Danio rerio: one gene and its partners. The protein of the gene in region 2 interacts with the protein of the main gene of each other region in a biochemical or structural test. Links are inferred from orthologs where the notes say so. Each region holds a gene or a part of one and is shown on either strand. Other genes may lie near its edges.

Region 1 (5,007 bases), on a different chromosome or scaffold from region 2:
ATATTATTGGCATGGCATATAACACACAATGCTTCTCCAATCCAGTTCTATGAATCTGAGTCTTTCATAATACATACACTTATTAATGATTTATTGTCTCTCTCTTCTTCTCCTCGTATATTCTCTACTCTCCTCGTGATGAAGAGCAGGCAAACAGCATAGATCAACTTGATTATAAACCTAAAAGTATCCGAAATCACACACATTATACCTCTTCGGTCTCTCTCTTCTTCAGGGCCTTTCTCTCTCTTTCTCCCTCTCTCTGTCTGTCTCTCTGACATGATGAATCCTGTTTGAGCTGCGCTGCCGTTAGCCTCCTCCGTCTGGTTAATGCTAGCTTACTCATCTAACGTTACCATAAGGTCTTCTTCATAGCCTCGTTCTCCTGATCATGGGTCTGTTTAAAGAAGGTGTGTATGGAACATGCCTCAATAAAGATGCCTCCTCTCCTCTTTCTTTCCCCATTGGTTAATCCGGCCCTGCCCTCGCTCTTCACTTTGCGCACACTCCAGGATTTTATGATCTGAATGTTGGCAGGTAGGTCCCAAATTGTCCAAAATATGCTGGAAGTTTGCAACTTTTGCTTGAGCTTCTGTTAAATCCACAGATGGCAGAATCCTAGAGAGTCTAATTATAGGCTGTACTAGGTACAGTTGCCTCGAACCGGAAAAAAGCACGCTTGTCCCCCCTCTAGTTCCCCCCGACGGCCCGCGCTCATACCACAATTGGGCCTCGGCGCGCTTACGTCATCGCTGCTGCGCTGTTCAGTGAAAAGCGCTCTCTCACTCAGCAGCACAGTGGAGATTTCTCTAGTTATATCGTTTCAGTCGTTTAATATGCAGTCAAATATTTCGCCAAACAGTCCTTAGGGATGTGGTGACGCAGTCAGATATTTCGCCGAACAGATCCGCCACTTTCGGCGCTCATAAACTATCATAAAGTCCTCGTGCTGCAGGAATGAGGAGGTTTGCTGAAGGTGCAGCTGTCGTGCAGTGAGGGGTTTGCGTCTTTAATAAACTACGGCAGTTTGCGTTCACTGAACAGTAAGAATGATTAATAAATCCATATGAAACAGCCCCTTAAAAGTCACGTCTTGCTTTCAGTTTCGGGCTTTGGCGCGTTTTGCACTCACACTACAAGCATACCGCACCAAAGCCCAAGTGAACCGCGCTCAGGCCCACCTCTTATAACCGGGCCAGGGCCGGCCAAGTGAACCGTGCCTGAGCCCGATTTAGCGCACTCACACTTCTCAAACGATCTGGGAAACGGGCCTGGGCACGGTTCGGATAGCATAGTGTAAGTAGTGTTATTATATTAGTGTCATTTTGAAACTGCTGCTTCTTCTTATGTAAGGTGATCATGAGTGGTTTAAAAGGCACCTCAAATAAAATGTATTATTATTAAAAATCTAAATCAGCTGTGTAAAATGAGACAGACACGCAAAATATGCAGCACGAGAGCAGAATTGAGAAACGCCGATGTAGGGAATAGTGAATGAGGATAAAGGAGGAGCAGAGAGTCTGAATGTGTTGATTTAGGCCGTACTCACACTAGGTACAGTTGCCTCGAACTGGGCCAAAGCACGCTTGTCCCCCCTCCCATCTCCCCCGACGGCCCGCGCTCACACCACAAATGGGCTTCGGCACGCTTACGTCATCGCTGCTGCACTGTTCAGTGAGAAGCGCTCTCTCACTCAGCAGCACAGTGGAGATTTCTCTAGTTATATCGTTTCAGTCGTTTAATATGCAGTCAAATATTTCGCCAAACAGTCCTTAGGGATGCGATGACGCAGTCAGATATTTCGCCGAACAGATCCGCCACTTTCGGCGCTCATAAACAATCATAAGGCTCTCGTGCTGCAGGAATGAGGAGGTCTGCTGAAGCCGTGCAGCTGTCGTGCAGTGAGGAGTTCTTGTCTTTAATAAACTACGGCAGTTTGCGATCACTGAACAGTAAGAATGATTAATAAATCCATATGTAACAGCCCCTTAAAAGTCACGTCTCGCTTTCAGTTTCGGGCTTTGGCGCATTTTGCACTCACACTACAAGCATACCGCGACAAAGCCCAAGTGAACCGCGCTCAGGCCCACCTCTTATAACCGGGCCAGGGCCGGCCAAGTGAACCGTGACTGAGCCTGATTCAGCGCACTCACACTTCTCAAACGATACGGGAAACGGGCCTGGGCACCATACGGATAACAGTGTGAGTAGGCCCATAGTATCATTATATTAGTGTCATTTTGAAACTGCTGCTTCTTCTTATGTAAGGTGATCATGAGTGGTTTAAAGGCACCTCAAATAAAATGTATTATTATTAAAAATCTAAATCAGCTGTGTTAAATGAGACAGACACGCAAAATATGCAGCACGAGAGCAGAATTGAGAAACGCCGATGTAGGGAATAGTGGATAAAGGAGGAGCAGAAAGTCTGAATGTGTAGATTTGTGTAGATTCCCGTCTCTCACCTGTGCGTCTGTTCCCCAGTGAGCGTCTCCATTTTCGGAGGCCGTCAGATCCTCCACCAGGACGGAGGGAAAGACGCCCACTCGGCCGTTAAACTCGCCCTCCCAGAAGCCGTCGTCCTCCTGGTTGTCCTTGTTGAGGATGCGAATGATGGCGCCTTCAGGGAACGACAGCTCCTCGTCCGTCTGACCCTCATAGTCATACATGGCCTTCACAAAACTCACTGGGAGACACACAGAGGAGAGGACAGTGCTTAACAATAGGTGTGAATACAGTTGGAGCTCGTCTACATTTGCTGGAGGTGATTTGAAGACACAAGTGGACTAGTTAGGGATCACATTCTTACAATAAAGCACACTACAACACTAACGCTTCACTTTAAATAAGTTTATATAAGATTAAACCTCATTAAGGTGTGCATGTGTGTTTTGTGTTTGTTTGTGTGTTTTATGTGTGGGTTCATGTTTGTCTCTGTATGTACAATTTGTATGTGTTTGTGTGTATTTGTATATGTGTGTTTTTTGCGTGTGTTTGCTTGTTTGTATGTACAATATCTCTATGTTTTTTGTATGTTTGTTTGTGTTGGTGTGTTTTGTGTGTGTGTGTGTTTTTGTATGTGTATGTGTTGAGTGTGTGTTTTGAGTGTATGTGTGTGTGTTTGTTTGTATATGTGACAGTCTCTGTGTGTGTGTTTGTATAGTGTGTGTTTGCGTGTTTCATGAGTGTGTTTTGTGTGTTCATGTTTGTCTCTGTATGTACAATTTGTGTGTGCTTGTGTGTATTTGTGTGTTTTTGTGTGTGTTTGTGTGTGTGTGTGTGTGTTTGCTTGTTTATTTGGATGTACAATGTGTCTATGTTTTGTGTATGTTTGTATGTGTTGGTGTGTGTTTTGTGTGTGTTTGTATATGAGTGTTTGTGTGTGTGTGTTTTTTTGTACGTTTATGTCTGTGTATTGAGTGTATGTTTTGAGTGTGTGTGTTTGTTTGTATATGTGACAGTCTATGTGTGTGTGTGTTTTTATATAGTATGTGTATTTGTGTGTGTTTGTTTGCGTGTATGTGTTTTGTGTGTATTTGTATGTGTGTTTTTTGTGTGTTTGTATAAGTGTGTGTTTCTATGTGCTTGTATGTGAGTGTTTTGTGTGTTCGTGTTTTGTCTGCTTCTGTGTGTATGTTTTGTGTGTTTGTAGGTGTGTGTTTGTGTTTGCTTGTATGTGTGTTTTGTGTTTTCTTGTGTGTGTTTATATGTGTGTGTGTTTTGTGTGTGTTTGTATACGTGTGTTTTTTGTTTGTATGTGTGTTTGCTTGTGTTTGTGTCTGTTTGTATGTGTATGTGTGTGTTTGTTTGCTTGTGTGTGTTCATGTTTGTGTCTGAACGTGTTTTGTGTGTGTTTGTATGTGTGTGTTCGTGTTTGTGCTTCTTTGTATGCATGTCTGTGTTTTGAGTTTGTATGTGTGTGTTTAGTGTGTGTTTGCTTGTGTACGTGTTCATTTGTATGTGTGTGTGTTCGTGTTTTTATCTGTTTGTATGTGTGTTTGTGTGTTTGTATGTGTCTGCATACGCTTGTGTATTTGTTTTGTGTTGCGTTTGGATATGTGTGTGTTTTGTGTGTGTTCGTATGTGTTTGCTTGTGTGTGTGTTCATGTTTGTGCCTGTTTGTATGTATGTCTGTTTTGTGTGTGTTTGTGTGTGTGCATGTGTTCCTGTTTGTATGTGTGTGTTTGCATGTGTGTTTTTGTATGTGTGTATGTATGTGTGTGTGTGTGTGTTTATGTGGTTGTCTCTCGGTGTGTGTGTGTATGTGTTTGTACAGTATGTGTGTTTGTACAGTATGTGTGTTTGTACAGTATGTGTGTTTGTTTGTGTTTATGTGTATGTTTGTGCCCCCGTGCAACTGTGTGTGTGTGTAATTGTGTTTGTGGCTATTTATGTTTTGTGTGTGTGTATACAGTATATGTGTGTGTGTCTATTTGTATGTGTTTTCATGTGTGTTTTGTGTGTGTTTGTATGTTTCTTAGAGTTGTGTGTGTGTGTTTGCATGTGTGTTTTGTATGTGTGTGTTTGTGTTTTTGATTTGTATGTGTGTATGGTTGCGTGTCTTACTGCTGCTGTCTCCATTGAAGCTGCCTGATGCCAGCTCAGGCTCAGTGGAGTTGCTGGAGGAGTGTGATCTGGCGTCCAGCGCGGCGAGGGATTGGAGCATGCTCAGTACACTGTTAGAGGTGGGGAACTGCAGGTACTTCTCTGGAACGTAGCCCACCTGCCCGGTCTTATTCCGCGCCTGCAACCAACAAATGCAACACAACATTTAGAGGCAGACTTTAATGAGGAGACCTAAGGTTACGCCTTCCGTCTGCACACTACACCAGAGATTTTCAGCCCCAAAATGGGAGTGTTTTGGAAACGCTAGAGAGGCCGTTTTGGTTTTAAAATGCTGCTGCTCCGTGTCAGTGTGGATGGGGGAAAACCATAGACTGTAAAAGATGAATAGCGCAAATGAAGCTACAAGTAGGCGTGGCTAACTGTTGCCATTTTGTTAGTGCG
Region 2 (5,724 bases):
CCTTGCAGCCGCAACCCAACACTGGGAAACACCCATACACTCTTGCATTCACACACATACACAACGGCCAATTTAGCTTGCTCAATTTACCTATACTGCATGTGTTTAAACTGTAGGAGAAACCGGAGCACCCAGAGGAAACCCACGCCAACACGGAGAGAACATGCAAACTCGACACTGAAACGCCAACTGACCTAGCCGGGGCTCGAACCAGCGACCTTCTTGCTGTGAGGCAATCATGCTACCCACCGCCACCGTGACACTCTCTGTACTTTTTAATATGTTTAACTTGATTGATTAGTTTTACATTTTCTGTTAATTTATTCTGAATTCAAATTAATTTTTAATTATCAAGTTTTATGGTGTTGGGTAATTGCATTTTAATATATTTTGCAGAAAAAAAATGAACAGGCAAGACTAGCAAAATGAGCATTACTTCCCAGACCATGAATCTTTTTACATTTTCCTTACTTTAAGACTTCTAAAACTGCCATCTCTTGTAACTTTCATCTCTAAGTGGTCCAACTCTGCTGACATTACCAATAAAACTGTTTTCTCAGCTGAAGAATAAGAGGCTTATTCCATCAATCAATACAACAGCGTTGAAAGGTATTCTTATTACATATTACCTCCAGAGAGAGAGCTGCCAGGGCACAGACTGTTAGTGAGGTCACCACAGGACTGAGTGTATCTTAATGTAAAAATCAATGAGGATTAATGAGTGAATCTGTTGTGCGCTGCATTAACTGTGCCTAAGGTTATGAACAAGCCATGCTCGTGATTAGAAACACTATACAATAATAACAGTCTGCACAAATAAACAGCTCCATACAACTGCCTTGAAGACCCACAGGTGCTTGTTGTATGAACAAAAGCGTACAAACTCTTGAACCACACGTAATCCACTTCAAGCAGAGCTTAATGCATTTCATATCAATAATTCATACTGTAGTCCAAAGCACTGGGAGTTTGAGATCATCTGTGTGCTGATGTGAAAAATAAAAGACGTTTTTTCGTTGTTGTTTCGCAAACTCACAGAAACACAGATGGCATGTGTTGCCAAAAAAACATTTTCATAATTAAGGCTGGTTACAACAGAAAACTCCCAGACAGCATGATAGATTATAAACAGCGAAACTCAACACCAGAATGTATATGAGGAGTATGTGTGTGTGTGTGAGGGAGAAAGCTGGATCTGGGCCCGGTGGTGCTCTGGGAATGCAGTCCGAGTTGATTGGCTGGTTTCCTGATATTGTCTGAAGTCATTTGGTGAAATAGGCAGAAGCATAGAGAGAGGGAAAGCAGCATAACTCAAACCATGTGATGAGGCAGAGCCCTGTGGGGAGTCACCACTGCTTTAGCACAAAGGACGGTCTGTAGTGCCTTTACCTGCAAATTATGCTCACTCGTCAACTTCTCATAAAGGATTAAAGCGGAATACATCACCAATGGGTGTAGAAATGTGAAGAACGGCTTTACGTGTGAATTTATTTAGGAAATTGTACTTTAAAATGTATCAAAGACTGTACAAAAGAGTGTTCAACATTATCTGACCTTCTGTCAAAAGTTTTTTTTTTTCAGTTCAGCTAAATGTAACCTGGGGTGAAATGTTATCCAATGCCCTTGAATAGAGATTCATTCATTATCAAGTGCGAAATGCTTTACAAGAAGTGCAAAACAAGGCTGCAAATGTATGAAAAAATGCATAAGTAATGCCACATTTTAAAAACAAATGAAAAAAATGCAGAAACTACTGCAAGTCCACCATGTTTCAACAAATGAATAAACAAATAAATAAATAATCTATAGTGAATAAAAAATAAAATATTTATAATTAGGTAAAATGAGAAAATCAGATATTTATTATAATAAATCACTTACTGTAGTAATAACTCAGCTTACTGTATTTGTTGCAATAAATAAACAATAGAAAAAAAATTATTATTTATACAGACACAAATAATAATTTTAGCATATATTATGTTGGTGTGGTAATGATTATGTACAGTTTGCAAATTAGAAATAAAACAATAAATAAAATATACATACTTTTCTTACTGTATTGATCAAAAGAACTAAAATATTTATCACAAATAATTGTTTATCTATTCATATCATATTATGTTATTGGACATGAAAAATAATAACAACTACACCTCCTATCACCCCCACTAACATAACAAATAAAAATACAGAATTAAAAGATAAACTAAATAAAAATGTAGTTATAAAAGTAAAAGTAATAAAAGTAAAGGAAAACACATTATGAAATAACACAAATTAAGAAATTTTAAAATAAAAGCATGCTTCTTAACAACCACTAGCCCTATGCAGTCACATGCAAACATGAATAAATATTTTTATAAATACAGGCCTATTAGCCAACAAACCAAGTCGCCAAGCCTATATTTAGTGAACATGTGAAAATAAATAAATAAATAAATAAATAAATAAATAAATAAATAAATAAATAATACCCGGCTAATTTTAGGAAACAGTTCCTCAATGGCTTGTTTACATGAAATGCATCACACAAACCAAACAAAAGTGAAGGGGAATCGCTCTGCTTACCTTGCCTCACAGTTTTTAACCTTATAGGTCCTTTGCAGTTCTTGATCACTGTCAGCACATCATACAGCGGCAATCCAGAGACAGAAAGCGTCTCCACTTCCAGCAGTAATTCCCCCTCGGACACTTTCCCATTTCTATACTGTACGGCGGTCTCGTTAACGTGTCCGATATAGGCGAACTCTCCGTTCTCCGCGCCACCGAGCAGCTGCACGTTCAGCTCGCCACGGGCGTCCTTGGAGACCGAGCACTCGTTAACTTTGGTGGTCCAGTGATTCTTCTTCTGTACCACTTTGGACATGATGAATCAATAAAATCCGCACAGAAACAGGTGGCTCCGCTGACAGACGACAAAACGAAACACTTTCATAAAATGAAATATCCCACGCGGTAAACTTTCTTCTCCGTCCGCTCAGTCATGAATGCAGCGTCTTCGCAGCCCCAAAAGATCCAAGAAAAAGCTCAACAAAAACAAAATCAAGCCATTGTCCGGCTCTTCACTAAATGAAATTCCCACTCCGACCGCTTCCTTAATTAGCCCGTATTGTTTTCCTCATCCTCGCGCTTTAATATTCTCGGTTGCGCGCATCTGCTTGCCTTTTCATTTCATAAACCTCTTTAAATACACTTCTTCAAGTCTGAAGTTGTTTTCAAAATAGTTTAGCGGTTTCTTAAACACTTAAAGTACCATTCCAGCAGTTTTCTTTGGCACACAGGCAGTGTTAGCGAGCGTTTCCTCCTGGTTCACGGCTCCTTTAAACAGGTACAGCGTTTGACGTCTGTTTTGATACATTTCATCCTGTTCTGCCTGCTCGCGACTCGGGATGGAGCGAATGTCACTGGAGCGCATGCGCATTATTTCCCTTCGGACTCCTGAAGGCAATCCTCACTGCGCACGTCACCAGGTCCTAAAGCCCGTCACGAAAGAAATCATATTTACGAACCTAAGCCGATTTCTGGAAACTCTTGATTAAATGTCTCTCCCCATATAAATCTTCAAAGGCCCTCCAAGTAAATAAATTTAAACATACTCCATGAATAATCGCACCTGGACTTTATACAAGGCTATTATCAGCATCTAAAACTGGTTAATGACATTAATTGAAAACATATCCAGATTCAAGGTGTGAGCTGAAAATCATGAAAGATTTTTGGTTTTTTTTTTTGTGAAACTTGCTGTTTAAAAAGATAAATATTCGTTCCTCAATTTGTTGCACAACCAGTTTTGTCTGTTTGCCCAGACTGTTGCTTTGTGAAGAAATTTAGCCTGGCGTAAGCGTTCATCCCACATGAATCCTTGTCAGTCATGTTCGACCTGCCTATCATGTTTGATGTCCGAAAAAATTTCTTATTTTCCAAACTCTTACCAAAATAAATCATGATTCATTACAAATAGAATTTCCATTTGTCTATTGTCTATTTGAAGATTATTTACTAAATTCTTGGTTTTATCCTCTTGAAGATTCTTACTGGAATGAGGGTTCATTTAAATTATACAGTCAACATTTAAAGTGAATCAAAACAATTTCAAAATTGTCCTAAAACTATGAACCCTTTTCAGATTTTCGAGTTTCTCAGTAGCAGAAGTCTTAGTGGATAAACTTAGAGCACAGTGAATGGGAGTGTACAACAATTTTTTTATATATACAATCCTATTTGCTAAAATAATATAAAAATTGGCAATGATGTTTTCAAGACTTTCAGAAAATAGAAAAAAAAACTATGTGATAATGACAGACAGAAGAGAAAGCATCAAATTTGCTGTTCTGCCTATACACTATACACTGCATTTCAAACATCTGCATAAGCGGTAATTCCTATTTTATCATTTGATGCAAAGATGATAGAAAACATACATAAATAAATATAAATGTTAATATGCTTTTTTTATTAAAATATTAAAAACTTTCAAGTATTTAAGATGCTGATGACCATTAAAGACATTATAACACTGAGTTCCTTTACATGGCCACCAGTAATCAAATTTTGATATGATTAAGACAAAACTCTGATTAAGAGTTTACCATGTAAACAGAGGATTTTTCACCATGTTTTTCGGCAGTATATTCTATACACACAAAGCTGTATGACACTATTCTCCACATCTATTGAGTCAATAAAGGACTACAGACACACATCCCACGAAATGCAAAGGTTTTTTTTTCTCTCATTCGGCATGCGGTATCCAATTTCATTAAAACTTCCAACATTCTTTAATTCATAAACACATCCAATACCTCAGTTTGTCACCGGGGGCATGAATGAAATGTTTCTGAATGAAACTGAAACTGCCTAACTACAGTAAAAGCCGAAATATTAAAAATGAAACATCTGAAATTACATGAAACTCCAGAGGAAACGTGGATAGCATGATGATGCAACAACGTTTATCGATCTTTGTGCTGTAACATGTAAGACAGGATCATAAAAGGAACATTCACAAAGTAACTCGTGTAAACACCTTAATCATATTATTGCTTATTCAGATTAAGGTAAATAATTGGATTACTGATGTCCATGTGAACATAGTCAGTCTTGATAAAAGAGTCTATTGTTTGATCTGGATCCACTTCAAATTTGAACTATTGTATATGTAGTAAATTGTAAGTAAATTGCTCCATTCATGCCTTTTACATGTGCCTTGAACGCGGCTTCCAAAATCACATTAGCCTACTATACATTATGTAAAACGAACAATATATGAGTATTTCAGAATTCATAGTATTTTAAAAAAAAGTAGGTGAGAAGTATCCAGAAAACCTATTCCTGTTGCTGAGATTCTAAAGGCCACTTTCAATAGACACTTTACCTTCTCATGAGGCCATGACAGGGAATTTATGAATGAAAGTGAAGAAGTAGTGGGTTAAACAATAATAGTGCATTGGGACAGACATGAAAAGTAGTCTTGCCTATAACCACACATCAGCATTATTATGGCCCACATCAACATTATTATCAAGAAAATAATTATTATTAATGTCAATATTGTCATCATTATCACTCTCGTTTTTTTTTTTCAACATAACCAAAAGCTCCATTTCAAAGACTTCAAAGAATTTTCTTCACCTCTGTCACTTCTCGAATGTCAATGATCACTCCGTGTATTTTTCTTGCATGTGTTTGTCTTACAGCATGTTACAGCCTAACACGTAAAGG
Region 3 (4,566 bases), on a different chromosome or scaffold from region 2:
TTTTCTAAGTGGATATGGCTAGGAACTACACTCTTATTCCCGTGTAATGATCAACTTAACATTTTTTTGTTGGTCTTATTACACAATATAACTCCAGATTTATGCTAAGCTAAGCTAAAAGTGCTCCGGCCCGACCCAAAGATTGGATGAATGAACTCAAAAATAGTAGAACTCAACTGTTTAACTCCAGGGAAGTTGTAAAATGAGCCTATTCCCAAAATTGTCCTTGCTTCTTTAAGTAAATCAGCAACAGCAGACAGCCTCCCTGGGCAAAAATGAACAAATTCCGTTATCCCTAAAAGGCAGACATGAGGCAATATCTCCATAAAACCTGAACCTCCTAAAAACAGACTTGCCAAGCGTGGAAAGGCCATTTTGATTATCCAACTGCCAAATGACTTAATGCACATAAAATCAATCCATGCTGTGAACTCGTTGGTTGAGATTAGCTTTAAACAAGAACCGATCGCATTCTTGGGAAGCATCGTCAGTGTTCACATACAAAACTCTAGGATTGATCGTCAGACAAACAAAGTGACCGTGTTTTACTCGAACCCAAACTCCAAAGCGAATCAACGGACGTGCTAAGTGACTCCTGACAGCACATTTGTTTTGGGCCTCCCACTAAAGAGATTACCAGAGGCAAATACCATCAGTGAAGGGGGTTCAAGGAGATAAATGAAGGTATTTGTTTAATACAGGCTTATTTTCTTTATGCGGCTGCCAAGTTCTAGATCAAATGGAGAGGGGGGTTAGGGCAGTAGAGCTGGATAAGACACAGATTCAGAGTATGAAAATCATCCAAATGCTAAAAATGGAAGATGATTTAGGCATGTGGCCCACACTGGCGGATTTATTTAAAAAACTATTGAGTGATTCATTGTGAACAGAGAAAAACACAGAAGTAGTTTAACTAATTAACCTGCGTGTGGGTGATTCTGTGTCTGTATGTTTATTGAGTGTCTGTCTATCTGGAATTTATGGAAACAATTTCAAGATAGCTTTCTCATAATCACATCGGCATGTGTTATAGGTTTCATAAGGTCTCGGAAAATCGTTTAGATTTGTAGTGCAGTGGAGGAACTCACATCAGGGAAAAAAAAGAAAGAACTCAGTTGTCAGATGCAAATCTTACACAGACCTTTATTGTTCATTTAATAGTTGATTTTTACACCACATACTGTACATACAGTCCACAGCAGTCCTTCTGAATAATTTACATCTATTCCTTTCGGTTACACACTTTTACAGACATTTTTTTTTTTTTTTTTTGAAGTGGTCATAACATACTTTAACCTTCTTTAACAGTTCATTCTCCTAAACATACTTTTCATCTTCCTTCTCAAAACAACACCCTGGCTTTACACCAGTGTTTCAAACGTTCCTACTTCATGAAGACACTACGAAATGACAAATAACAGCAAACCAAAAATCCATGGATGCTTGCTAATATCAAGTAGCGTCAATCATCAAGTCCATCTAGTCATTTCCAACTCTATTCCAAAGCTTCCTTCTAAATCTCAACTCGACATTTCTCTAGCCCTCATTCAACTTTTTACACGACAGTCCACTTTACATCAACTTTCTGCTTCGACAGGCATGTACATGCACTGGGCCCTCATGATAATACAGGCAGGACTCAACAAGTAAAGCTCCATGCAAGATGCTACATTGAAAGTCATCCATCATTTTAAGGGGGTGGAAAACAAATATGGCTCAGATTTTGGGGTTTTTGTATAAACAAAAGAGCAAATTTTCCAATTGGAAATGTATAAATCATATTGCTACTGACATAGCATTTGTTTTGAAAAAAAAAACTATACCTTCTGATTTAAATATAAAATGGAGCTGATAAAATATTGTTTAATGGGAATGTACTTGTAAGACTTGCCTTCCAGTAGAGCTTTGGTTCAGACTCAGTACAAAGTAATTTTCATTGCTTTGGAGGTCTTTTTCCCCTCTCAGTGGGTGGTATTCCCTTCTAAAAGCTAAACACAGTGCTTTTATTAAAAAACAAAAAGAGCTACAGTAAATATCTTATTGAGAAGTTTAAAAAAAGATAAACTTTAATTACAAAAAGAAAAATCATTATTAATAAAATAAAACGACCAAACTAACAGTAAACAAGACAAGTTGTGTGATCTTGCGCTTTCACACAAATCAAAGTGTTTCATAGTGATTGGGATGCGTCTTCAATCTTCAATCCCTTGAGATCCACACAGTCGCCTCACAAATACTGTCTTTCTGGTACTGGTGCGGCCCATGTGGACCAAGGAGGGTTTGCTGGGGGGAGGGATTTGGTAGTAATAGCTGCCATTGTGGACAGTAACAGAAACACTGCTGTAAAAACCATACACACACACATAAATACAAGTCCTCCGCATGGTGCCACTCCATCTACACCATGGTCTCCTTCCTCTTGCCCAACGGGCAGAGCGAACGCTTGTCCTTTTTGGATTTGCGGGAGGGGATGGGGGCGGATATTGAAGACGATGATGAGGATGAGGAGAGGGTGGAGGTGGCGGAGGGTGTAGGACTGGGGGGCTCCTCAGAGCTAGGGGAGGAAGGGGCGGAGGCTGCAGCCCGTGGACAGTTCTCATCCATTTCATCCATTTGGATGACAGTGGAGACAGAAGAAGAGCGCCGTTTGGCGCAAACGTCGGTGGCTGGGGTGGTCAAGGGCTCATTCTCAGAGAGTGTCAAATCCTTCTGGGTGGACATGGCATTGCGGAGGCAGTTGAGCCACTGTTGCTTGTGGAAGACGTCGTTGACCTGCAGTGTGTGCGACTGTCCCTGAGATGCGTCCTGGAAGCGCACCCGGAAAATGTTTTTGGCTATAGGGAGAAAAAAAGGATTCAGTTGAGCCAAAGGAAACAACAAAAAAGGAAAGAGTGTGATTCACACAATACTAAGAGGTGTCAACTTACCTTTATCAGCGTTACTAAAGGCTCCTCTGAATGATCCTCCCATGCGGACGTCTCCATCCTGCAGGTCTTCCAATACAAGATCCTGGACTGGGATTGGCTGACGGTACACCTGGAAGCAATGGCGGTCATTCCGCGTCACAGGTCGAGTCAGAATCAGAACCTCGGTGAACAGAAATACGTGCAGTTTCTAAAGAGGGAGAAGAGAGCACTGGTTATTAACATGTTATTTGAACATTAGACTGATTAAACAGTTTGGTCCCATTTTATATTAAGTGGCCTTAACTAATATGTACTTACACAGGAACTAATAGTTTGTTACAATGTACTTATTGTGTAAATACATGTATTTACTGTGTACTTATGCTTGATTAAATACATGTAATTAACTTTTGTAGATACATTTGTAAATACACTGTTGACCATCCCTTACACCTTAACCCACCCATGCCACCAAACCTGTCCATAACCCAACCTCTATCCCAATTCAAAAGCACCCCAAGTGTTCTCAAATACATTATAAACACAGTAAGTACATTGTACTTATTTTTTATGTAAGTACATAGTAGTTAAGGACACTTAATATAAAGTGGGACCAACAGTTTTCTCTCCTGGCACTTTCAAAGATTCCACTGTTATTGTGTCATGTGCTTGACAGACAAAGGAAGCCAATTGAATCCATCTGATAGCCTTATTTGGAATATAGTGGCTTTATGTTTCTAATTCCCAAGAATAAAAGCCTGATTTGCCTCCAGCGGTTTAGACTGTGATGGATGTTAAACTCACCGTGCCACTTTTGTTGCGAAGTTCCCCATGGCAAAGCAAGCTCTTGCACTGCTCAATGCGTGGGTCTTTCTGCTTGTCTTCCAAATATTCCAGCTTATCGATATAGTATTGACATTCTGACTCCCCTTTCTTCATGTTTATGTCAGCCAGCACTGCTTGAATGACACTTATCTGGAGACAAAGAACGAAGGCAATATTAAAACCGAATGTCCCCAAAACAAGTGTATCTGAAGGCCTGCAGTTGTTAGATCGGTGCTTGCTCTTACCGCTTGCTCAAGACTTCCTTTGTCTGGGTGATCTGGTGGTGTGTGTCTTAAAATCTCTTTCAGAAGAAGAGGGTATTTGACCAAACGTGAGCGAGGGATGTCCAGGAAGCTCCATAAGTCTAGTTTCCTGCTGAAAGGTGACTCAAGGCAGCGCTGCAGGAAGTCTTGAACTCTTGGGTCCTGTTTCTTCTGATCGAGGAGGGCTTTGGCAGCTAGTTGGTTGCTACAGTATGCTCTGTATGCATTTAACCTTGGCAGCTGTGGTGGAAAGTGAGAGTTTTAACATTCCGAATGAACCACAATTAATTTGCCTCATAATAATGAACAACGAAAAGATGCTTACCCAGTCAACAACAATCTTGCCGATCTGTCTCACTGTGCCATCCGTACCTGTGGCCTTTGCCAATTGATCAAGAAGATCTGATAGGGTAAAAAAAAAAGTACGTTAACACTACTTGTTATCTCACGCAGTAATTAGGTGTGTCATGTAAATATGGTAGGTTATTTACCTTCATGAAGGGGAATGTAAGCATCCAAATCTCCAAAGATGGCTGTTAACTCCTCTTCAGACATAATAGAAAGTTTCAGCA
Region 4 (5,007 bases), on a different chromosome or scaffold from region 2:
ACATCACTTGGGAAATATAAAAAATAAAATAAAAAAATTTAGACGAGGGCTAATAATTCTGAATTCTGAATTGTTTATGCCAGAAATCATTAGAAAGTTGGGTAAAGATCACGTTCCATGAGGACATTTTGTAAATGTACTATTGTAAATATATATTCCAAACAGATTTTATTTTTTAGTAATGTGGATTGCTAAGGACTACATTTTAAAGATTTAAAGGCGATGTTGTCAATATTTAGTTTGCTTGTTTTTGTGATTCCTCGGATTTCAGATTTTAAAATAGTAATATCTTAGCCAAATATTGTCCTATCAAAGTATACATTCCGCTTATTTATTCAAATTTATAAATCTCTGTTTAAAAAATGCACTTATATCTGGTGTATGGAGCCAGAGTTGTGGATTTATGAATTCTATGAATGCAAATGTATTATTTTTGAGACTGATCTGGCTCCATACTGGTTTTGTGGTTTAGGGTCACATATTTCAATTACTGAGACAAACTCAAGTTTATTTTGCATTTTTATTTTGCTAATAATTATGGGATAGTCCTTTTATTATGTTATAATGACATGCTTTATTTCTTTTATGGCTTTAAAAACCTGGAAACTTGTTCAGAAAAAATCTTAACAATAAGGTACAAACATAAAAACATGCATACATTTATATACAAATACACTGCAACAAACAAATACATTGGATCAAATATATTATGTATAAACATAAAAATACAACTATGGGGCCAGAACTGACCATAGAAATATTCCCAATAAATAATAACATTAGAAGCTAAAACCATTTCTGAATTCTAGTGTCAACAAACAGATCTTCACAAATAGTAGTATTGTTTATTTTAATCATATACATTTTAAAAAAAAATTTTTTTTATTTATTTGTTAAAATTTTGTATTGTATTTATTCTAGTGTATTTTCTGGCCACCTGTATGTAATTTGATTTACATTTTACATAATACGATTGATACAGTATGTATTTGTATATTCTAGAGCATTTGTATGTAAATGTATATGTGTGTTTATATGTTTGCATCTTGTTGAGGCCATGGATATTGTATTTTCCCCTTGTACAGTGACGTTGAACTTGGAAAAGGCATTCTATAAATAAATCTTTTTATTATTTTTATTTCTCTGAAATCTCACAGGAAAGCAGTAAAAGCCACACTGGTTCTGCTGCCTCTGCTGGGCATCACATACATGCTGTTCTTCGTCAACCCTGGCGAGGATGAGATCTCACAGATTGTCTTCATTTACTTCAACTCTTTCCTAGAGTCCTTTCAGGTGAGCAAACACAAATTTTGGTCCTGTGCTGACATATTGTTTTATTGCTAGTCAGAATCTGATATTTACAACTCAAAAGTTTAATTACTAAGAATGAATAGATTTTTATATTTTTATTTCAAAATCTGAAGATGTGATCACACTGCAATTTTCGTCCCATAGACTTCCATACATATGCTTGGAAATTCAGACTAGAAAAACTAGCTTGTGTGACAAGTTTTGCATGTTGTGGGAATTCTGATATGGTAGTTCACATCACGTGATTGTGGGAGCCCAATATGGAGCAATAGATTGCTTTACCGATGTCTAATTATTTTTTTTTATCCCACCCTTTACTCTTCATCATGTGGTTTTAAACCTTCATAAGTTTCTTTCTTCTATTAAACACAAAGAACATTGATTTTTACAGTTAGGTTTTCCCTACTGAAGAACTGCAGAAATAGACCCAAAGAGGTTTAAAACCATGTGAGGGAGAGTAAATGATTTGGTAATCTTCATTTTTGACTGACTAAATTTAAATCCACAGTATGGACTTGTTTCTGTCATTTTGTTAATGTGTTTCTGCTTGGGTTAATTTTTCAAAAAGCTAGCTCTGACCAATAATTTATGTTTAAAATCATCTATCATTTAATCATAAATCAAGGAAAACAGGTTAACACATGTACGTGATCAATGCATTGTCAGCTTGTGAAGCGTAATTGGGTTAAGAACATGCATATAAACACACATTTGTGACTGAATCTAAATATAGCTCTGTGCTATGTAGGTGCATTCAGCACAGGTGTTTTGATTTTGTCTAAAAACAACATACTGTACACTAAAATAGTCCAACTGTTTGGTATACTCACTAAACGTTTTGCTTTTGCAAAAACAAATCCTTTTAAACCTGTTGCACAACTCATTGTTTGTTTTTGAAGTTTAGTTTTCTAGAAAATCTCACGCATGTGTTCGTAAATCCTTGTATTCTTTCTCTGAGATCTGTTTCTCATAGCAATTTAGATCTGTGTCATCTGATGCACACAAGGTCAACTCGGTCTCCTGTTTGCAGCATTTGCTTATTGGCTTGACCCTAGGGGTCTTTCACGCATGTTGAAGCCATGTTTTCCACAGATGCATCTGGCTCCACATCTGTCCAGATCCTCATGGGGATGACAGTTCATCTGTAGGGATTTTAGCAAAACATGGAGTAAAAGTTTTTGGTTTATTCTCTTTAGAAAAAAAAAAAAGTTTATTAATAAAATCAAAAAACTTTTTTTTTAAATATCATTTGAAAGGTTTCTTTGAGCTTTTTGCCTGCAGGCAGCACTTTAAAAATGGAGGAAAAGTAATTCAAAACAGATTTTTGTTTTATTACATTTCATAATGACTAAAAGCATTGTGAATGAAAAAACTGCATCTTGATAAAATAAATTATAAAAAATTTGACAGATGTTTTTGGCAAATACCATTGTCCATGGCTTAAAGACAAAAAGGAGTTTCAAGCACCAAAACAATACAGTTTATGAAGAAAAAAAAATACTTACTAAAATGGAATTAAGTGTAACGGTAGATGATACCTAATGAGTCGTGTCATATTCAAAACAAGAGTCATTAGATGGCATATTAAAATACATTTTATATGTAAGGATCAAAGTTCAGTCACAAAATGAAAAACTTATGTATATGTCTATGTATAAGTACATGTGTATAATGTTTACTTTTCACTGAAACTTGTTAAATAGACTCTGTAAAATTAGAAAAAAAAAGATGTTTAACTTTAAGAACCATTGAAAATACGGTGTTCTAATGTTAAAGACGAAGAGCTGTACAGTGGGATTTGAAGCAGAGCCTTTAGTCTATTGTGAACCACTTTAAAAAGATAACTGATTCTGAAAAAGGCATATTTTAAATGCTACGAATTGTACAAGAATTACATGACAGCTCAATTAATAATTTTAATAATTTAAACTTAATAATTTTTTAAACACCATTTTAGTGACAAAATTATTAGCCACTTTAAGCAATTTATTTCTATAGTCTACAAAACAAATCATCATTACACAATAACTTGCCTAATTACCCTAACCTGCCTAGTTAACCTAATTAACCTAGTTAAGCCTTTTAATGTCACTAAGCTGTATAGAAGTGTATCTAGTCAAATATTATTTACTGTCATCATGGCAAAGATAAAATAAATCAGTTATTAGAAATGAGTTGTTAAAACTATTATGTTTAGAAATGTGCTGAAAAAACTTCTCTCCGTTACCAGAAATTTGGGGAAAAAATAAACAAGGAGCAAATGGTTCATAATAGCAATGGTTATTAATTCTGCATACATATTTAAAAATAACAGATTTTTTTTCTCTGTTTGTGTGTGTGCGTGCGTGTGTGTGCGTGTGTGTGTGTGCTATTCAACTGCATTATGGGGTATTATATTTTATTCTAACTTTGGGTATTAAAACATTTATAAAAATGGACTTTTATTTTATTTTTAATAGTTTGAAGTCATATCTGGGTTGGGGTTGTGAATTACAGTACAAAAACCTGGTAATAAAAAATCTGTACTTATTTTGTTATTTTACTTTTTTTTTTTTTTACTGTATAATATGTTATATTCTTTCAAATCACTAAAATGTCGATAAAAGTCACCACTTTAGAGTTGTATTTTGAACATCAAAAGTAGACAGAGCATAGATAAAGGTCCCTTATAATTAATAAAGGTCCCTTATAATAAACATAATTAATAACCGTGAATAAACAGAAAACACATAAATTACAGAAACTGTTCATTTTTACAGTGCATGTTTAGTAAAGCAGTATAGTGAACTCTGTCTCAGCTTGGCTTTAAAAAGTGTTTAAACGGAAGATTGAGTGTTATTTTAAAAAGTCTATTTTTGTAATTATTTTCTCAAATGTAAATGTCTCTCGTTTTCTTTACAGGGCTTTTTTGTGTCAGTGTTCTACTGCTTTTTGAACAGTGAGGTAAGCAACTGATTTCCCTATTCTGTTTTTTTTTTTTTTGTTTTTTTTGCACACATATGCCCTCTGCTGTAACCCTGCTGTAGCTTAACTAAAGTTGTGGTGTAGTTTGTGGTGTAGTGTTTGTGTAATTTGGGCAATTCAGATTCCTTCAGCCATGGCAGTCCATTGAAACCAGACCAAAAAAGGACCCTCCTAACACTGTTAACCAAAAATCACCCTTTTGACATTCAGTAACTAAAAATAAAAAAACAACTCATAAAATATACATCCCTACGAGGTCTAAATCTGGCTTGTATTACATGCCCTTTGAAAAGGACAGTAAACCTTTGGGAATTTCCAGCCTAAATGCTCCTCTTTAGCATCATGCCCAGATCACAAGCACCAGCAGTTTTTACACATCATGTTGTCCTCTTTAAAAAAAATAAGCTTACAGGTGCTGTAAAACAATCCAGCATCGGATCCGTCTGGTCTGTTTTGTTTGTCATTTTATCCAGTGAACAAGTTGAAGTTGAGCAGAAAAGTGTGAGGTTTGATCTGAGGTCACCCTGAATCACAGATGGATATCAGAATACACCAGCAAAGCAGAGAGTACAGTGTTGCTTAACGTCAAAACGATAACATTGATCTGTTCCCGGTACATATGAAAGGGACACCGCAATGTCAGGCGCGAGACCTCCAGATCACAAGGTGCTTTTGGCTCCAATGCGGCTACGCAAACATATTTCAAACCAAAAAGACTGTGGTGCAAAATTA
Region 5 (4,021 bases), on a different chromosome or scaffold from region 2:
TGTATATATATATATATATATATATATATATATATATATATATATATATATATATATATATATTCAACAGTTCTGTCTGGAATCTGATTGACTGATAGGCGTGCGATATTCTGCAAATAACAGCACTCGTCTAGCCTCTTCACCCTTCACCCTTGTGTATTACTCCGCCTACATACAGCAACAAGCAGAGGACGCTCTAGTTTGACAAATATTACAGCTGTTGGACAACATCATGTACTTTGAGGCTTTTTTAGTCGATAATGTAGTCGTTTAGATTGCAAATATGCAGTTTATCTTAGTAAGGATCTTTACTGAACAAATAAACAGCTTAAACCAGCCTAAGCCGATTAGGCTGGGAGGTGGGAGATGACCAGCGAAAACCAGCTTGACCAGCCTAGCCAGACTGGTAGCCCAACTAAAACCAGCTATATCCAGTTTAAACCAGGCTAACTGATTAACTGATCAAGCTGGAAGATTACCAGCTAAAACCAGGCTGGAAACCAGCATGAAAAAGGCCAAAACCCCTTTGAAACCAGGCTGATTGACCAGCTAAAACCAGCCAACCAATAGATGTGTTTAAGCTGTTTTTTCAGGATAGATAGTGCCTATTTTAAATATTTATAACTTCTGAGAGACAGCGCGTCGATGGCCATTAGCTTGTCATTGAGCGGAGCAAAGACAGTTGACGTTGTTTATCCACAAGATGGTGTCAGAGACTGCATAATAAGTCCTTCGAGGAGGAAAACATCGTAATTTTTAACTACAGCTGATCAGATCATTCTAGAACTGATAACTGGTAAGACTAGTTCAGTAAACAGAAAGAAAGAAGAAATGCCTGCATGTGTTTACTGTTTTTCCTTATCGCAAACACAATAGTATTCTGCTAGCGTTTGCATTGCTTTAGCTTTTTCAGGGGTTAAGTATTGTGATTTCCCGAATGCAACAAAGAAATATTGGGAAAGCCTTATAATTTTGAAATGTGAGTAAAAATCACTTGTTTTGTCATCACTTTAGACATTACGCTAGAGAAGCATTCAAACACTAGCTCTAAAGTGACGCTGGTGAAGTAGCAATGATTTCTGCTGTTGTGACATCAGCTGCGAATGTGAATGAATGGTGGAAGAAAGTAGTTCCTTATACAAAAGGGTTTTTGAGACTCTACTTGTTAGATTTTGTTTTTATCCACACAATTATGCCATCAAACTGCTTTAAAAACCCAATATTAAACTTGTAGCAGTGCGATATGACTTTACAGTTTATCGTCACTGGTGCACGCCTCCCAACCAGGGCAATATACAGCCATATCGCACTGCTACTTGTGTGATATTGCTCATATATAGTTTATATAAAGTTTTGTATACATTAAATTGTTTTAAACTACTGAAATGTCAACAAAAGTCTCTATGTTTAGCTGCAGAGTTAATATTTAAACACTAAAAGTGAAGACTGGAGTCCAACAATGCAATTCATGAGCATAAATAAACGGAAAACACCACTGAATCACAAAATATAGGCACAGTTAATTAACAGACATTGTTTGTTATGAACCAAAGTTTGCTATTAGCATAATAAGCACAACTTTTTTTGTTTGTTTTGCAAACGTATATACAAGTTCAGTCAACTCTAGACAGACACATAACCATCATGACTTGCGAGGTTAATCGAGTTCTTCCTTGTCGTGATCCAACACAGATATGGCCTTTTTTTCCGGGAATTTCCCCCTCTCAAGTCCCAACAGATCCCACAGACTTCATACCAGTCGTAATCGTCTCTCTTTATATGACATTTGTTTACGCTTTTACATTCTGCTCAATCATACAACTCTGTCTTCTGGGTGACTGGTGCTTCCAAAAGCGGATGAAGTTTTCCCCAACAAAAATGAACAGCAGCGGATCCAGACAGCTGTTTCCAGACGCCAGAACGTGTGTGACGACTGCCGCTTTTCTTAAAGTTTCGATGTAAAGGCAAGAATCGCCATAACCGTTGATTTTAATATCCCTCTCAGCCTCCAAAAATAGAGTTCGGACGACATGATAAGGCATGAAGCAGGCCAGGAAAATCAGTAAAACTATGATGACGAGAGAGCAGGACTTTTTCTGGTTGAACTGAGATCTTTGGTTCCTCTTCTTGAGCTTTATCAAATACACAGCCGCAAAGATATAACACACAGAGATGATCGCGAAAGGCACGACAAATCCCAAAAACAGCACACCACGGTTTAAAATGATAATAGTTTCCAAATTGGAGTGTCCCAAATCCAGACATCTGGTTTTTTCATTCTCCTCATGCGTTCCTGCTTTCAGAAGCGGGATGGAGGCCAGAGAAACGATCATCCAAATAACAACGCAGATGATCCAGGCCCGTCGTGGGTTTTGCCAGCGTACATACGCGAACGGCTTGACAATGGCCACGAACCGAACCATACTAAGTACGGTCAGAAAGTAGACACTTCCGTACATATTAATGTAGAAGACGTAAGACATGATCCGGCAGGTTACATCTCCAAAAACCCAATTGGAGTCCATGAGGAAGTAGGAGGCCCGGAAAGGCAGCGAGCACACCAGCATCAGATCCGACAGCAGGAGATTGAGCATGAGGATGTTCACCGGAGTTAAAGACACCTTTTTTCGGACTGAAGAAGCAACGAAGAAGACGAGCGAGGTGATGTTGCCGACCAGCCCGAGGAAGAAGATGAACAGGTAGGCGATGGGGTAGACGGTGTGCTTGAACTGGCTGATGGAGCAGTTGTTTGTGGGGACCGTATCCAAACTCCTCATTGTTGGTACAGGGGATTAAATCTGTGAACAAGACAGACAATGAATCAACAATAAAATGAATCATTTTCAAATTACACTCAAAAAATTGCTTATTCAAAACTATTTATTCAAAATGAGTTGGAACAATTTTGGGAGGGGACCACTTAAATGTTTTATGTTAAATCACTTAAATCTGTGTTTTGCATTAATCAATTTGTGTTAAGAGTTGTGTGGAAGCCCGCGTTTTTTACAATGTAGGAAATTCCAAAAAACTTTGGGCTCTATTTTGACGGTCCATGCGCAGAACGCAAAACGCAGGGCGCAAACGCTTTCAGGGCGTGTCAGAACGCATTTTTGCTAATTTACGGACAGGAAAATGCGCTTTGCGCCAAGGCGCATGGGCTAAAAGTGTTGAGTTTATTTTCTTAATGAGTTATAGGTGTGTTTTGAGAATAAACCAATCAGAGTCTCATCTCCCATTCCCTTTAAGAGCCAGCTGCGTCACGCCAAGAGCGCATTCGCTATTTACAGGACGCAAAGTAAGTCTAAGTGGAAAAAATGAGCATTTCACAAGCAAACAGTAAACAGTTGACAGTTTTTTTAACAGAAAACAGTTAAACAGAGCATCTACTGCATGAGAATGAGAGATAATGGATCACTTTCACTTTCGCTCTTGGATAGAGAAACCTTTATGCACAGACATCAATTAGCCTATAAATAATTAATTGCGTTTGTTAAGCGCAAACATTCGTTTCAAAACTATTTCTAAATTCAGTTCTAATTTCCAGCAAACAAATAAATGAACAATAATGACCAAGTGTGGTCAAAAACCTGAGTTATATCCTAAAACACATGCTGTGCCCCATATGGTCTAAAACCTGACAGGTGGGCAAATCTAAGCTTTTTTTAATAAAACAAATATAAATATGGATATAATAAATAATACTGCTAATAATAATAACATTTTATAAAAGCAGATTGTTATGAATGAACTGAAAAAGCCTCCCGAGATGAAGAAGACATAAAAGCAGTGATTTTTCATTTTCATGTAGGCTAGAAAATAATAAGTTTTGTAATATTTTAATCCTTTATATTTATATCCTATATCTATTCTTATTATATTCTATATATATCCTTAATATTTAAATTTTTTCATATGTAAAGATATTTGCCTGTTGCTCTCTTGTGTGTATTAAGCAGTGTGTAAGCGAGGCGCAACTCTGCGCCGGAGTTTAGACCGGGTTAGTTTTGGTCTAATGAAAAAT

Evidence for each region. The genes of interacting proteins can lie anywhere in the genome.
Region 1: the proteins of magi1b (region 2) and fchsd2 form a complex in vitro, tested with the Homo sapiens proteins (2 studies listed by BioGRID and IntAct, with this or other methods). The link is inferred for Danio rerio from reciprocal best matches to the Homo sapiens genes MAGI1 and FCHSD2.
Region 3: the proteins of magi1b (region 2) and net1 form a complex in vitro, tested with the Homo sapiens proteins (3 studies listed by BioGRID and IntAct, with this or other methods). The link is inferred for Danio rerio from reciprocal best matches to the Homo sapiens genes MAGI1 and NET1.
Region 4: the proteins of magi1b (region 2) and crhr1 form a complex in vitro, tested with the Homo sapiens proteins (2 studies listed by BioGRID and IntAct, with this or other methods). The link is inferred for Danio rerio from reciprocal best matches to the Homo sapiens genes MAGI1 and CRHR1.
Region 5: the proteins of magi1b (region 2) and cysltr2b interact in a test that uses a peptide from one of them, tested with the Homo sapiens proteins (2 studies listed by IntAct, with this or other methods). The link is inferred for Danio rerio from reciprocal best matches to the Homo sapiens genes MAGI1 and CYSLTR2.

What each region holds. Positions count from the first base shown.
Region 1 is NC_133193.1:4,387,693-4,392,699, forward strand, and holds part of fchsd2 (F-BAR and double SH3 domains protein 2), read right to left. Parts: intron 4,745-5,007; coding exon 4,567-4,744; intron 2,687-4,566; coding exon 2,466-2,686; intron 1-2,465. UniProt on the Homo sapiens protein: Adapter protein that plays a role in endocytosis via clathrin-coated pits. Contributes to the internalization of cell surface receptors, such as integrin ITGB1 and transferrin receptor.
Region 2 is NC_133186.1:20,963,912-20,969,635, reverse strand, and holds the start of magi1b (membrane-associated guanylate kinase, WW and PDZ domain-containing protein 1b), read right to left. Parts: upstream 3,375-5,724; 5' UTR 2,870-3,374; coding exon 2,572-2,869; intron 1-2,571. UniProt on the Homo sapiens protein: Plays a role in coupling actin fibers to cell junctions in endothelial cells, via its interaction with AMOTL2 and CDH5. May regulate acid-induced ASIC3 currents by modulating its expression at the cell surface.
Region 3 is NC_133179.1:12,143,085-12,147,650, forward strand, and holds the end of net1 (neuroepithelial cell-transforming gene 1 protein), read right to left. Parts: coding exon 4,486-4,566; intron 4,397-4,485; coding exon 4,320-4,396; intron 4,235-4,319; coding exon 3,977-4,234; intron 3,882-3,976; coding exon 3,711-3,881; exon of another isoform or gene 3,521-3,710; intron 3,205-3,520; exon of another isoform or gene 3,115-3,204; coding exon 2,928-3,114; intron 2,835-2,927; coding exon 2,398-2,834; 3' UTR 1,119-2,397; downstream 1-1,118. UniProt on the Homo sapiens protein: Acts as a guanine nucleotide exchange factor (GEF) for RhoA GTPase. May be involved in activation of the SAPK/JNK pathway Stimulates genotoxic stress-induced RHOB activity in breast cancer cells leading to their cell death.
Region 4 is NC_133178.1:20,602,824-20,607,830, forward strand, and holds part of crhr1 (corticotropin-releasing factor receptor 1), read left to right. Parts: intron 1-1,157; coding exon 1,158-1,293; intron 1,294-4,212; coding exon 4,213-4,254; intron 4,255-5,007.
Region 5 is NC_133190.1:3,193,323-3,197,343, forward strand, and holds the end of cysltr2b (cysteinyl leukotriene receptor 2), read right to left. Parts: intron 2,799-4,021; 5' UTR 2,778-2,798; coding exon 1,791-2,777; 3' UTR 1,119-1,790; downstream 1-1,118. UniProt on the Homo sapiens protein: Receptor for cysteinyl leukotrienes. The response is mediated via a G-protein that activates a phosphatidylinositol-calcium second messenger system.